2 linked regions of the Anolis sagrei genome follow. The protein of the gene in region 1 interacts with the protein of each later gene in a biochemical or structural test. Links are inferred from orthologs where the notes say so. Each region holds a gene or a part of one and is shown on either strand. Other genes may lie near its edges.

Evidence for each region.
Region 2: of the proteins of MAPK8 (region 1) and JUN, one has a biochemical effect on the other in vitro, tested with the Homo sapiens proteins (76 studies listed by BioGRID and IntAct, with this or other methods). The link is inferred for Anolis sagrei from reciprocal best matches to the Homo sapiens genes MAPK8 and JUN.

The regions. Positions count from the first base shown.
Region 1 is NC_090023.1:142,173,256-142,180,729, reverse strand, and holds the start of MAPK8 (mitogen-activated protein kinase 8), read left to right. Parts: upstream 1-4,426; 5' UTR 4,427-4,582; intron 4,583-7,474. UniProt on the Homo sapiens protein: Serine/threonine-protein kinase involved in various processes such as cell proliferation, differentiation, migration, transformation and programmed cell death.
Region 2 is NC_090024.1:169,476,875-169,483,935, forward strand, and holds the start of JUN (transcription factor Jun), read left to right. Parts: upstream 1-4,049; 5' UTR 4,050-4,978; coding exon 4,979-5,923; 3' UTR 5,924-7,061. UniProt on the Homo sapiens protein: Transcription factor that recognizes and binds to the AP-1 consensus motif 5'-TGA[GC]TCA-3'.

The DNA of each region.
Region 1 (7,474 bases):
TCCCCTGTAGAATCTTTTTCCTGGGCTTCTGTGATGTCACACAAACTCAGATTACACATCTTTCCCTGAGAATAGTATGAATCACACTGCAAAGGACTTTCTGGTCCTGTCTTCTGCTGAAGCTTCACTGGGGCTGGTGAGGTAGACAGAATAATACCACCTTTCCGTAGGTCCCAAAGTCTGTTGTCATGCCTCCTAGCACCCTCAAGTCTCACTTGGAAGCACCTCCAAGCTTTCATATCAGGCATGTAGCCGGGGGGGGGGGGGGGGGGGCTCGGGGGGCTTCAGCCCCCCCCCCGAAATTCTCATGGTGGTTCGCGAAAAGGCCTTACTGGTGCATTATTTAAACTGTTATGTTTATTCATATCATGATCTGATCACCATACTCAATCTATCCCATATGCATGGGAGTATTGGGGTAATGATACAAAAGGTTTGCTAGGCTAGACCCTCTTTCACTCAGACTCAGCCCCCCCCCCGAAACTCAGCCCCCCCTGAAATTTTTTTAGCCCCCCCCCCCCCCCCCCCCGAAACAAAATCCTGGCTACGGGCCTGTTTCATATGTTTCTCCAAGCTGCTCATTTTCATTGGCAACAATCTCTCATGATCTTTGTTCCTTTTCCCTCAACAAATGTTGGGTATGTGTGCCACAATATGAATGAACGATAATTCCTAAAATCATGGGTCATTTCCCCCAGAACTCTGTCAGTATTCAAAGTTGGTCATGTTTGATAAATGTGCCATGCTTGGTCCAGATCCATCACTGGTGGGAGTTTGTTGGGAGAAGCACATGAGTGAAGCCGGCAAAGTGAATGAGCAAAAGGAAGACATATAGCAGCAAGGCATTACCACTGGCAAAGTGTACTCATATTGCACAATTGCTGTAGTTTGATGCCACTTTAACAGCCATGGCTCCACCCTATGGAATCCTGGAATCTGTGGTTTGGTAAGGAACTTGGAACTCTCCACTGTATTCTTACGCTGTAGGACAGAGAGCTGACAGTGAATTCTAAGTCCTTATCAAATTACAAGACCCAGAATTCTGTGGGATGGACCCATGACCGTTAAAGTGGTGTTGTAACTTCAACTATAGGGGGAACATAGATATATCCCAGGTTTCTTACTCTTAAAAATCTGTGGCACTTGAAGGTTGCTCAGTACAATGAACCACAATGCTGATAGGCCTATCTTGAGGTGGTCACTATGCTCAGTTGAATAAAAGATTGGAAAATCGAGTCTCTGCATTTATTTACAGATTTTACTGTTCATTTGTATGCTGGAATACAAACACAGACTTCACATTTGAAACAAAATTGTGCTGGATCAGGTTAATGATTCAGTAGAGCAGTGTTTCTCAAACTGTGCTCCTCCAGGTGTTTTGGACTTCAGCTCCTAGAAATCCCAGCCAGCATACAAGCTGTTAGAACTGTGGGAGCTGAAACCCAAAACATCTGAGGAAGCACAGTTTGAGAAACCCTTCAATAGAGAAAAGCAAATACAAACACCCTCTGGACAAATTTTGCTAAGATAACCTCACGATAAAGACCTACCTTAGAGTCACTATATTTATTTATTTTATTTATTTACTTTACTTATATACCGCTGTTCTCAGCCCGAAGGTGACTCACAGCAGTTCACAACAAATAATGTCAGAAATGACTTGAAGTAATACAAGAGATTCCTCCGTGGGAATTGCAAAGCAGGATATTATATACTATCTTAGGTACCCAGTGATGTAATTTGGCTATGTAATCTGGTAAGGATAAACATTAGAAAAAGTAATTGTGTGTTTTTGGATGTTATGAGTGGTCCCGTTAGAAAATGCATATGGATCAGGGTGAGCTGCAAGTCCCACTATCATCTGTTATTTTCCCCCAACGTTGGGCATGTTGAGTCTGTGTGCCAAGGCTGGTTCAGATCAGTTGCTGGTTGGGTTCACAGTGCTCTCTGGATGCAGGTAAACTGCAAGTCCTGAAATTCAAGGTCAATTCCCCCAAAACCCACCACTATTCAAAGTTGAACATGTGGGGTATGTGTGCCACATGAGGTCCAGATCCATTTTCAGCTGGGTTCACCATGCTCTCTGGATGCAGATGAACTACAACTCCCAAAAGTCAAGGTTAACCCCCGCTCCATACCCCACCGGTATTCTAAGTTGGGTATGTTGGATTTGTGTGCCAAGTTTGATTCAGATCCGTCATTGGACTGGGTTCACAGTGCTCTCCGGATGTGGGTGAATGGCAACTCCCAAAATTCATTGAAAGCCACTTCCCCCCATGTATTTAAAATTGGGCATGTGTAGCAAGTGTGGTTCGGATTCATCATTGGCTGGGTTCACAGTGCTTGCTGGATGTGGATGAACTACAACTCCCGAAATCATGGGTCAGTCTATTCTAAACCCCCCAGTATTCAAAGTTGACCATGTTGGGTATGTGTGCCAAGTTTGGTCCAGGTCTGTTGTCAGCTGGGTTCAGGGTGCCATCTGGATGTGGGTGAACTATAACTCCTGAAATCTAGAGTCAATCCCCCCACAAAGCCCTCCAGTATGTTCTGTTGGTTGACAGAAAAGGCTGCTGGCAAAAAAGATAAGACTGGTGAAATGTCTGCCCTTAGAGGCTGAGAAAGTATTGAAGAGAAACAACTGGAAAAGCTGACATGATACAAGGATTTAAAGATCGAACTGCAAAGACTCTGGCACAAGCCAGTCAAGGTGGTCCCGGTGGTGATCGGCACACTGGGTGCAGTGCCTAAAGACCTTGACCTGCACTTAAAACACAATTGGCGCTGACAAAATTACCATCTGCCAGCTGCAAAAGGCCACCTTACTGGGATCTGCACGCATTATTCGCCAATACATCACACAGTCCTAGTCACTTGGGAAGTGTCTGACGTGTGATCCAATACAACAGCCAGCAGAGTGTCTGCTGTGGACTCATCTTGTGTTTCTAATAATAATAATCATAATCAAATCATAATAAACTTTATTTATAACCCGCCACCATCTCCCCAAAGGGGACTCGGGACGGCTAACATGAGGCCAAGCCCAAAAATAACACAGCATAATTAGACACAAAAACAACAGAAAAATGTTGTTGTTCATTCGTTCAGTCGTCTCCGACTCTTTGTGACCTCATGGACCAGCCCATGCCAGAGCTCCCTGTCGGCCGTCACCACCCCCAGCTCCTTCAAGGTCAGTCCAGTCACTTCAAGGATGCCATCCATCCATCTTGCCCTTGGTCGGCCCCTCTTCCTTTTACCTTCCACTTTCCCCAGCATAATTGTCTTCTCTAGGCTTTGCTGTCTTCTCATGATGTGGCCAAAATACTTCCACTTTGTCTCTAGTATCCTTCCCTCCAGTGAGCAGCCGGGCTTTATTTCCTGGAGGATGGACTGTTTGGATCTTCTCGCAGTCCAAGGCACTCTCAGCACTTTCCTCCAGCACCACAGCTCAAAGGCATCTATCTTCCTTCGCTCAGCCTTCCCTAAGGTCCAGCTCTCACATCCGTAGGTGACTACAGGGAATACCATGGCTTTGACTAGGCGGATCTTTGTTGCCAGTCTGATGTCTCTGCTCTTTACTATTTTATCGAGACTGGACATTGCTCTCCGCCCAAGAAGTAAGCGTCTTCTGATTTCCTGGCCACAGTCTGCATCTGCAGTAATCTTTGCACCTAGAAATACAAAGTCTGTCACGGCCTCCACATTTTCTCCCTCTATTTTCCAGTTGTCAATCATTCTTGTTGCCATAATCTTGGTTTTTTTGATGTTTAGCTGCAACCCGGCTTTTGCGAACAGAAAAATACATCACAACAAAATACATAATATAACAAAATAAAATAAACAGTGCAAAATAACATAATAAAATCAAACACAAAGGGCGGGCCAAATGCATGAGATAAAATGTTAAAGCAGAATATTATATTTCAAACAGATTATGAAAACGAAGGCAGGTATCACACTAGAAGAAGAGGCAAGGAGTCTGCAAGCCATGTGGCTGCCTCCTCCTCCTGCGGAATTCTGGGACTTGTTGTTTAGAGGAGAGGCCTTTGAAAGGCTCAGCCAAGAGAGGCCCTGGGCCTCACTCAACTACAACTCCCAGAATTCTGCAGGAGGAGGCAGCAGCAGCGACAGGGTGACAGGTGGGCGGCCTCCTCTCTCAGCGCCAATGAGTGGGGTATAGCGTGAAGCCCCCTCGAGAAGCGCGCGCTGCGTGGCCATAGCAACCCATTCGGCGCCCTTGGACAAATCACAGTCTCCCATCTTCAAGGGGGACGCCAAGGCCGCGTTCAGTCTGAACCCAACCGGAAGGGGCTGGAAGGCGCGCCAAGCACTGCCCCCCCCCCAGGCAGCCAGGGGGAGGGGCTGCCACGCGCAGGTGCGGCGCCGGTGACGTCACTCCGCCTGGTCACCCCGAGCGGCGGATGCGGAAGCGGCCCACCAACCACCGCAGACCGGAAGCGCCGCCGCGGTGCCCATCCCGCCTATGCCTCAGTCCCTGCTTAGTCGCCCGGGGAGGAGGAGGAGAAGGAGGAGCGCCGCAGTCCGGCGCCGGCCGCCACCCGCCTCGGGTGCTCTCTGCCGGGTGAGCCAGCCTGGAGGGGCGGGAAGGCTTGGTCAGCGCGGCCTTGGCCGGCCTCGGGGTGGGAGAAGGAGGAGGAGGGGGGCGAGAGAGGGAGGCTGGGTCTGGCGAGAGGCGCAGGCAGGCTGGAGGCCCCGCCTGAGGGAAAGGGATAGCGGACCTGTGTTTATCTCATGGCTGAGGAAGCAGTGCACGTCCATGTGTGAGGAAGCGGACCTTACTGAAATCAAGATCAGCTGCCTTCACATCATTCCCTTCATCTACCAAGCTTGTAACTGTCGAGCAAAATACTCCTGTACTCCTGTACTGGGTTGCTGTGGGTTTTATTGTGCTGTATGGCCATGTTCCAGTAGCATTCTCTTCTGACGTTTCTCCTGCATCTATGGCAGGCATCCTCGGGGTTTTGAGGTCTGTGGGAATGAGGCAAGTGGGGTCATTGGAATGTCCAGGGTGGGGGAAAGAACTGTTTGTCTGTTTGAGGCAAGTGTGATTATTGCAATTGGCCAGCTTGATTAGCAACTGAAAAGCCCTGCAGCTGCAAAGCCTGGCGGTTTCTGCCTGGGGACGTGCTTTGTTTGAGAGATGTAAACTGCACTTGGTTGTTTTGTCGAAGTGAGACCTCACTACCTCTGAGGATGCTTGCCATAGATGCATGCGAAACGTCAGGGGAAAATGCCTCTAGAACTTGGCCATATAGCCCGGAAAATCCTACAACAACCCACTGGCACTTGATTGCTGACTAGAGTTCCCCTGCTTCTGAGAGCCCTTCCACACATTCCTATATCCCAGAATATCAAGGCAGAAAATCCCACAATATCTACTTTGAACTGGGCTATCTGAGTCTACACTGCCATATATTCTAGTTCAAAGCAGAAAATGTGAGATTTTCTGCCTTGATATTCTGGGATATAGGGATGTGTGGAAGAGCCCTGAATGGTGTTCTTTATTTGCTGTCTTGATTCTGGTGTTTTTTTTTAATACTGGTAATCAGATTTTATTTATTTTCATGGTTCTCTCCTTTTTGTTGAAATTGTCCACATGCTTGTGGATTTTGATGACTTCTCTATGTAGTCTGACATATTGGTTGTCAAAGTGGTCCAGCATTTCTGTGTTTTCAAATAGTATTCAGTGTCCAGGTTGGTTTAGCAAAAGGTGCCCCCAGGCAACAATAGCCAGGCTTTGCCACTGTAAGGCTACTCAGTTGTTAATCAAGCTGGCTAATTGCAACATTCACACTTGCCTCAAATAAACAAGAGTTCACACTGGATTTTCCACACACACACACATTTAATCTGAGAATTCCCACAGACTTCTCCCTCTAGTTGTCAACACAACTAGAATCCCCACAGACCTCTGAACAAACCTGTGAGGATGCCTGCCATAGATGCAGGTGAAACGTCAGGAGAGAATGCTTCTGGAACATGGCCATACAGCACAAAAAAATTCACAGCAACTCAGTGATTCAGCAACACATACTCCTGAACTGTTATGCAGTCCTGTCTTTTCTCTGTCCCGTTTTAGCATTTCACTATCATCTCTACACAGTCACCCTCCCTTTTCCTTGTTCTTCCTCTCCGCATATCAAATATGTCCCACATCTTATTAATCTGTGCACCATTTTTGTCTTCTAATGAATGGGTGCAATGATTAATAAGAGTGGGCCAAATTTTATATGGGAGAAGAAAGGTAAAAAAACCTTCAAACATACATTTATATTACCTAGTGAACAGAAAACAGCCATACCAGTGGCTCTTAAAATATAAACCATGAGCTCCATATCATTTTAAATTATCTTTAAATGTTTTTGTAACTTTAATAAGTTTTATTTGGTGTAAGCTATTGTGAAAGTGAAAATGTATTAATCTTTTGATTAGCCTGGAAAATATTGCCATTATTTGCTCTTCCCAAGTGCCACTGCCAGAACTCAGAATCTAATGAGGAAAGTACAGGTTGAGTGTTTTTAATTCTCAAATACTCCACAGTTGTACACGATAGTGACCTTTTGTGTACACATAAAATTATTACATTATTTTATAGGCTGTGTGTATAAGGTGTGTATGAAGCACAAGTGGATTTCATGTTTGGGCTTGGGCCTCATCTCCAAGATATCTCATTATGCACATACAAATATTCCAAAATCTGAAATCCAAAACCCTAATGGTCCTTACCAGTTTGAATCAGGGATACTCAACCTGTATTTTGTTCATTCTGTAGAGATGCAATCTACAAAGAGTGTTATCCCCAATCTGAAATCATTTCACTGGGAAACCCTACTCTGCAAAAGAGAGGTTACCAGTACATCTGCAACAGTGGTGTTTTTTTGGATTTGACAAGGCAACTGCTTCTGGGTACCAAACAACATAAGTGACTACGGTCAAAAGATAGGTATTCTTCCTGGTTGCTGTAGGGGCCCTTCCACACAGTCCTATATTCCAGAATATCAAGGCAGAAAATCCCACATTATCTGCGTGTTCAAAGCAGATATTGTGGGATTTTCTGCCTTGATATTCTGGGATATTGGGCAGTGTGGAAGGGCCCTCGGTAAGTGACCCTTAATATCTATGCCTACTCATTTAAAAGAGTCTTCAATCACAGGCATTGGATGGAGTTTTGTCTCTACTAGTACCTATTCATTGACCTATTTCAGAGGTTCCGTGAAAAATTACTAACTTGTTAACCCACCTTTGTTCAGTAAAAGTTTTGAGTCAGATGGTGGGATGGCTTACTTATCGCTCATTGTCAACCGAAAGAGCTTGAGTGAGCCATCTCCAGCATCCTTTCCTTATATTTGGTACCACAGCAAAACATATGGATTTTCCCACATTTTTAATAGCTGTCTTGCAATATAGCTTGCCTTGCAAATATACAGTGATACCTTGACTTACTAATTTAATT
Region 2 (7,061 bases), on another chromosome or scaffold:
CACAATTGAAGGGACATGTTGACAAGCTGGAACGTGTCCAGAGGAGGGTGACTAAAATGATCAAGGGTCAGGAGAACAAGCCCTATGAGGAGCGGCTTAAAGAGCTGGGCACGTTTAGTCTGAAGAAGAGAGGGCTGAGAAGAGACATGATAAAGGTAAAGGTAGTCCCCTGACAATAAGTCCAGTCATGTCTGACTCTGGGGTGTGGTGCTCATCTCCATTTCTAAGCCGAAGAGCCAGCGTTGTCCGTAGACACCTCCAAGGTCATGTGGCCAGCATGACTGCATGGAGCGCTGTTACCTTCCCGCCGGAGCGGTACCTATTGATCTACTCACATTTGCATGTTTTCGAACTGCTAGGTTGGCAGAAGCTAGGGCTGACAGCGGAAGCTCACGCCGCTCCCCGGAATCGAACCTGCGACCTTTCGATCAACAAGCTCAGCAGCTCAGTGCTTTAACCCACTGCGCCACTGGGGGCTCCGACATGATAGCCATGTATAAATATGTGAGAGGAAGTCATAGAGAGGAGGGAGCAAGCTTGTTTTCTGCTGCCCTGGAGACCAGGACGCAGAACAATGGCTTCAAACGACAAGAGATTCCATCTGAACATTAGGAAGAACTTCCTGACTGTGCGAGTAGTTCGGCATTGGAACTCTCTGCCCAGGAGAGTGGTGGAGGCTGCTTCTTTGGAGGCTTTAAGTAGAGGCTGGATGGCCATCTGTCGGGGTGGTTTGTATGCCATTTCCCTGATTCTTGGCAGGGGATTGCACTGGATGTCCCACGAAGTCTAGGATTCTAAGTCACACTCTCTCTGCCTCGTGGGAAAGGCAAAATGGCAAGGAAGAACCAGAGCTGGGTTCAGGTTCACCCAAGCGTTGAAGTAGGTCGGCTTTAGGACCGCGCGTTCCCGCCTTCGCCCTTTTGCCCATAGAAAGGCACAGAGGAGGCGGCAGGGAGAAGCCGAGGAAATCCGACCCTCCTCCTCCTCCGCCCCAAATCACGCGGGAAGGAAGGGAGCTCCCCTCCCCCTCTTTCTCCTTCGTGTGGAGAAGGAAGAAACCCGCGCAAAGCCTTCGCAGGCTCTCGGCCAAAGCGTGACGAGATGTAAACGTCGGAGGGAAGGCAGAACGGAGAACGGAGGAGAATTAAGGCAGCTTGACACCACTTTAACTGCACCCCACGACCCCGTTTATGGGGAAAGCAAGTCTCTGGGAGTTCCGCGGGAACAGAGAGTCATACTTAACCCCCCACCCCACCCCCTTACAAAGGTTAGCTCAGGAAGATGACGCTGGAGAAGGGCTTCCAGGGGAAAAGATGCGCGCATATTTACAGCCCATGACCAGACGGTTGCAAAGCTCTTCTTCCTCCCTCCCTCCTTCCTTTTCCCTGCGTGGAAGGAAGGAAGCTCTGACGGAGGAGGGAAGGAGCGTCACGTGGAAGTCAGCCCATCGCAGGCCCTTCGCTCCCTCCTCCCTCCGGATCCGCGGCAGCACCATTCCCGGAAGAAGGCAGGGATCCCGGGATCCAGAAATGCGCCCCAAATCCGAAAATTTTCCCCATTGGAGGCTGAGACAGTGGCACCTTTGCAGTCTGAAGCATCAGAGTGAATTCTTGTTTAAACTTGGGTCCCTTATGTTATATTGTATTATACATACATACATATACACGTACACACTTGAATTCTGGTTTAAACTTGGGTCCTATAGATATATAGATCTAGATCTATATATAAATAAAAATGTAATGTTCGTTTGTGGGATTAACAGAACTCAAAAACCACTGGATGAATTGACACCAAATTTGGCCACAAGACACCTACTAACTCAAGGAGTGACCATCATTAAAAAAAAAATGATTTTGTCATTTGTGAGTTGTAGTTGCTGAGATTTATAGTTCTCCAACAACCAAAGAGCATTCTGAACTCCACCAACGATGGAATTGTGGCATACAGTTCTCCCATGATCAACAGAAAATACTGAAAGGGTTTGGGAGGCAGTGTCCTTTGGTTTTGGAGTTGTAGTTCATCTACATCCAGAGATCACTGTGCAGTCAAACAGTGATGGATCTAGACCAAACTCTACCCAAATATTCCATATGCCCAAATGTTAACACTGGTGGAGTTTGGGGAAAATACAATCTTGACATTTGGGAGTGGTAGTTGCTGGGATTTATAGTTCACCTACAATCACATTGCCACCAAATTTAGCCAGAAGATTCCTATTAACCCAAGGAGTGACCACCACTCAAAAAAAATTTCTCATTTAGGCGTTGTAGTTTATGGGATTTATAGTTCACCTACAATCAAAGAGTATTCTGAACTCCACCAATGATGGAATTGAACCAAACGATATGCAGGACACCCATGACCAACAGAAAACACTAGAAGGGTTTGGTTGACATTGGCCTTGAGTTTGGGAGTTGTACAACCAGAGAGCACTGTGGACTCAAACAATGATGGATCTGGACCAAACTTGGCACAAATATTCCATATGCCCAAATATGAACACCTGAGTTTGGGGGATTTATACACTTGGGAGTTGTAGTTACTGGGATTTATAGTTCACCTACAATCAAAGAGCATTCTGAACCCCACGAATGCTGGCAAACTTCCCACACAGAACTCCCATGAGCAGCAGAAGATACTTAAGGCCATCTAATCCAACTCCCTTCACCAGCGCAAGAAAACGTAATCAAAGCCCTCCTGACAAAGGGCCATCCAGCCATAGATATAGATATATATGATCCACACACAGAGAGAGATATAGATTTGAAAGCGATTCCACCAAAAAAGACAATTATATGTAGCATGTTCCACATTAGGCAAACCAGACAATCTCCACATCAACACTCACAAAGAAATAGCAAGAAATACTGTTTACCCACAAGCATAAAGACATTACATATATTAGAAACCAACACTTTCTCGTTACTTTATTTTCCAGATCACCAGACTGGGCCACAGCAACGTGTGGTAGGGGACGGCTTTTAGATATATAAAAGTCCCTTATATTATAAACAAGAATTCTAGAATATTATAATATAATAAATGGGATCCAAGTTTAAACAAGAATATAATATAATATATATGACCCAAATTTAAACAAGAATTCATATATATATGAATTCTTGTTTAAACTTGGATCCCATTTATTATATATTATATTCTTGAATTGTTATTTAAACTTGAGTCCCTTATATTTTATATTATATTCTTGAATTCTTGTTTAAACTTGGGTCCCAGATATTACATTACATTATGTTATATTCTTGAATTCTTGTTTAAACTTGAGTCCCTTATATGATATTATATTAATTATATTATTGAATTCTTGTTTAAACTTGGGTCCCTTATATTCCTGAATTCTTGTTTAAACTTAGGTTCCTTATATTGTATTCTTGAATTCTTCTTTAAACTTGAGTCCCTTATATTATATTTATTATATTCTTGAATTCTTCTTTAAACTTGGGTCCCTTATATTCTTGAATTCTTCTTTAAAGTTAAGCCCCTTATATTATATTAATTATATTCTTGAATTCTTGTTTAAACTTGGGTCCCAAACACACACGCACACACGATCCAAGTTTAAACAAGAATATATATGAAAAATAGGTGGCAAGGGGCAGTTCAAAATGGTCCCAGTCATTTTGTGAGTTTGTAAATCCATTTGCGGAATAATAGTCACTTGCCTCTCTTTGGAACACAAAGTGGATCCTTCCACCTCCCCCCCCCCCCACACCTCCGTTCACTACTTGGTATCTCCCTAGTTATGTTACAACACGCCCCCCTCCTCCTCCTGCCCTGGCGCGTGTGCGCATGCGCGCGCCTCCTCCCCCTCCGCCTCCTCCCTCCCTCCCTCCTTCCCTGCCAACCCCGCCGGAGCTCCTTAAGCGGGTAACCCGATATTCAAAAACAATACGTCATCCCACAATGCCCCGCTGCAAACGGCAGCCTAGGCATTACCTCATCCCACAATGCCCCGCGAGCGACGAAAGAAAGGGCGGGGCTCGTCGGCGGAGAAGCTTCTAGCCGGGTGGGGTGGCCATGGAGATGGGCGCCTTTGCTTTGCAAACGGGCACAGGCCGGCGGCAGGCCTGGCCCCGCCCCCTTCCCCTCCGCGAGGCGGCGGCGGCAGCCAATGGGAAGGCCGCGGGGTGACATCATGGGCTATTTTTAGAGAGTTACTGCTCGCTGATAAGTGTTGGGACTCCACGCTGAGAAAGAGCTCAGAGTTGAAGCAAGCGCGAGCGCAAGCGGCACGAGAGGGAGGAAGAGCCGGAGCATTCGCCGCCGCCGCCGCCACCGCCACACGGTTCCCCTCAGAAGGCGAAGAGGAGAAGGAGCCTGCCTCGCTTTTGGGACGCTCTGTGAGGGGAAGACGACGCCGAGCGGCCCTTCAGGGGGAAAGGCGGCCAAGGGAGAACCCTGAACTTCTTGGGGTGCCCTCCATTTTATATCAGCAGGGATTGAGAGGAGAGGACGCGTCGTGGCGCCTCATTCTTTCCCGACTGGACTCTGGGAACGAGACTTTTCCTCTCCTTCTCCCGTGTGCTTCCTAGAAAACTTCATTTCTCCCCCTGACAGCCGCTCCTGAGAAAGAAGGGAGGCTTCAACAAGTGTGTGTTTGAACAACTCGGCGCAGGACACTCCCACCAGGGACGGAGGGGGTGGGGAGCCTCCATACTTTGAGAAAAAGTAAGTTGTGCTGGACTTCCACTCTCTTTGCGCCTGGATTTCGTACTCTTGGAGATACCAGCCTCTCTTTACTCCCCAGAGGGAAGGGACTGACAAGCCAATGCCTTGTGGCGAAAAAGTAAGACTGTAATCATTGATTCTTCGAGTTCTCCCAGAATAATATTTTGTTGTTGTTGACTTATTTGGTGGCCAGCACTGACTCTGATAAACTTTTTTTTTCAAAAAGTGACTGAATTCGCTGCTTAGTTTCTCAACTGGAGGGGAGCAAACTTGTGGACTGTGTTCTATGACTGCAAAGATGGAACCTACATTTTACGACGATGCCATCAACGCGACCTTCGTCCAGCCTGAAAGTGGCACTTACGGATATAACAATCCCAAAGTCCTGAAGCAGAGCATGACGCTCAATCTGGCTGACCCGTCCAGCAACCTCAAGCCGCACCTGAGGAACAAGAACGCCGACCTGCTGACCTCTCCCGATGTGGGCCTCCTCAAGCTGGCTTCTCCTGAGCTTGAGAGGCTCATCATCCAGTCTGGCAACGGGCTGATCACCACCACTCCCACCCCGACCCAGTTCCTGTGTCCCAAAAATGTCACCGACGAACAAGAAGGTTTTGCGGAAGGCTTTGTCAGGGCTCTCGCAGAGCTGCACAATCAAAACACCATGCCAAGTGTTACCTCTGCTGCCCAGCCGGCCAACTCTGGCATGGCCCCAGTGTCTTCCATGGCTGGAAACAATGGCTTTGGTGCCAGCTTGCACAGCGAGCCTCCTGTCTACGCCAACCTCAGCAATTTCAACCCCAGCACCCTCAGCACGGCGCCTAACTACCCCGCCAGCAACCTGGGCTACCCTCCGCAACATCACCTGAACCCTCCCATGCCGGTGCAGCATCCCCGCCTCCAGGCTCTGAAAGAAGAGCCTCAGACTGTCCCAGAGATGCCTGGGGAGACTCCTCCCCTGTCACCGATTGACATGGAGTCCCAGGAGAGGATCAAGGCGGAGAGGAAGCGCATGAGAAACCGCATTGCCGCCTCCAAGTGCCGGAAAAGAAAGTTGGAGCGGATTGCCAGGTTAGAAGACAAAGTGAAAACTTTGAAAGCCCAGAACTCGGAACTTGCCTCCACAGCAAACATGCTGCGAGAGCAGGTTGCGCAGCTGAAACAGAAGGTCATGAATCACGTCAACAGTGGGTGCCAGCTCATGCTCACACAGCAGTTGCAAACTTTTTGAAAAGAGAGTGGGAAGCAAACTGCGTTGGGGTGAAAATTAAGCGAAAAGAAAGAGAGGTGGGAGTTGGGAAGCTCACCTGGGTTGTGGGGCAGGAAGACAAGCCGGAAAGGCATTGTTCCAGAGAGCGCTTCCACGACTCCCAACACCACTTCCAAAGCATGCATGGAGAGAAAGAGACTGGGTGCCTTTCTGTCTGAGGTGGTGGCATGTCAGTTGGAAGTACAGCTCTCCGAAGTGCTGTTTCTGCTCAGACAAGGCTACAGAAGCCTGGTGTTAGCTTTTTCTTTCTTTCTTTTTAACATTGACCAAGACCTGCATGGACCTAACATTCAATCATCATTCAGTATTAAAGGTTAAACTGCAGTAGATACTGTAGATTGCTTTCTCTTAGTACTCATTTTTTAAAAAAAAAAAGTGGGGAGGGAGTTTGTGGGAGGCTAATGACTGAAGCTGAACTATACTGCCTGCCTTAGAGTCCAGTTGTGTATGTACAGATACTCTTTTTTATTTTGTGACAGCTGATAAATATCAAGTAAAACTACTTCATGACTTTGTAAGTTATTTTTATGTTCATGTGGGTTCAAGCCCAGTATTGTTTGTAAATAAGAGGATTTTTTTTAGCAACCTTGAGTTTTTTTTCCATTTGTAATAAAGTATATAATTTTTTATGTTTTATTCTGAAGAAGAAATGAAGAAAGGGTAGGTCATATTTAAGAAAATAATACTTTGCCCACTTTCTTTGATTAGTGCCATTAAGGCTACAACACTATATACACTTACCTAGGTGTAAATCTCATTGAACAAAGTGGGGTTTACCTCCGAGTAGACACGTGTAACATTGCACTGTCAGGCATATGCAGAATCAACTTGTGGTTAGATGTTAAAACTTCACTAATGCTATAAGTGGGGGAGGGGGGATCGAGTTCTGTAAATTCCACACTGGGTTAGTATGTAACAGCAGTGTAATCCTTTTTTTAAAAAAAAAGAAGAAGAGAGTTCTGTACTCCTGTTATAATAAAGCTATTGGTCTTTAGAGTACTGTGTGTCCTCTGTCACTGGAATACAAGAGGATGTGTTAAATGAGCCCCCATGGTCTGTTTTACAAGCTACTAACATAGTTTTCACAGAGATGAAGAAA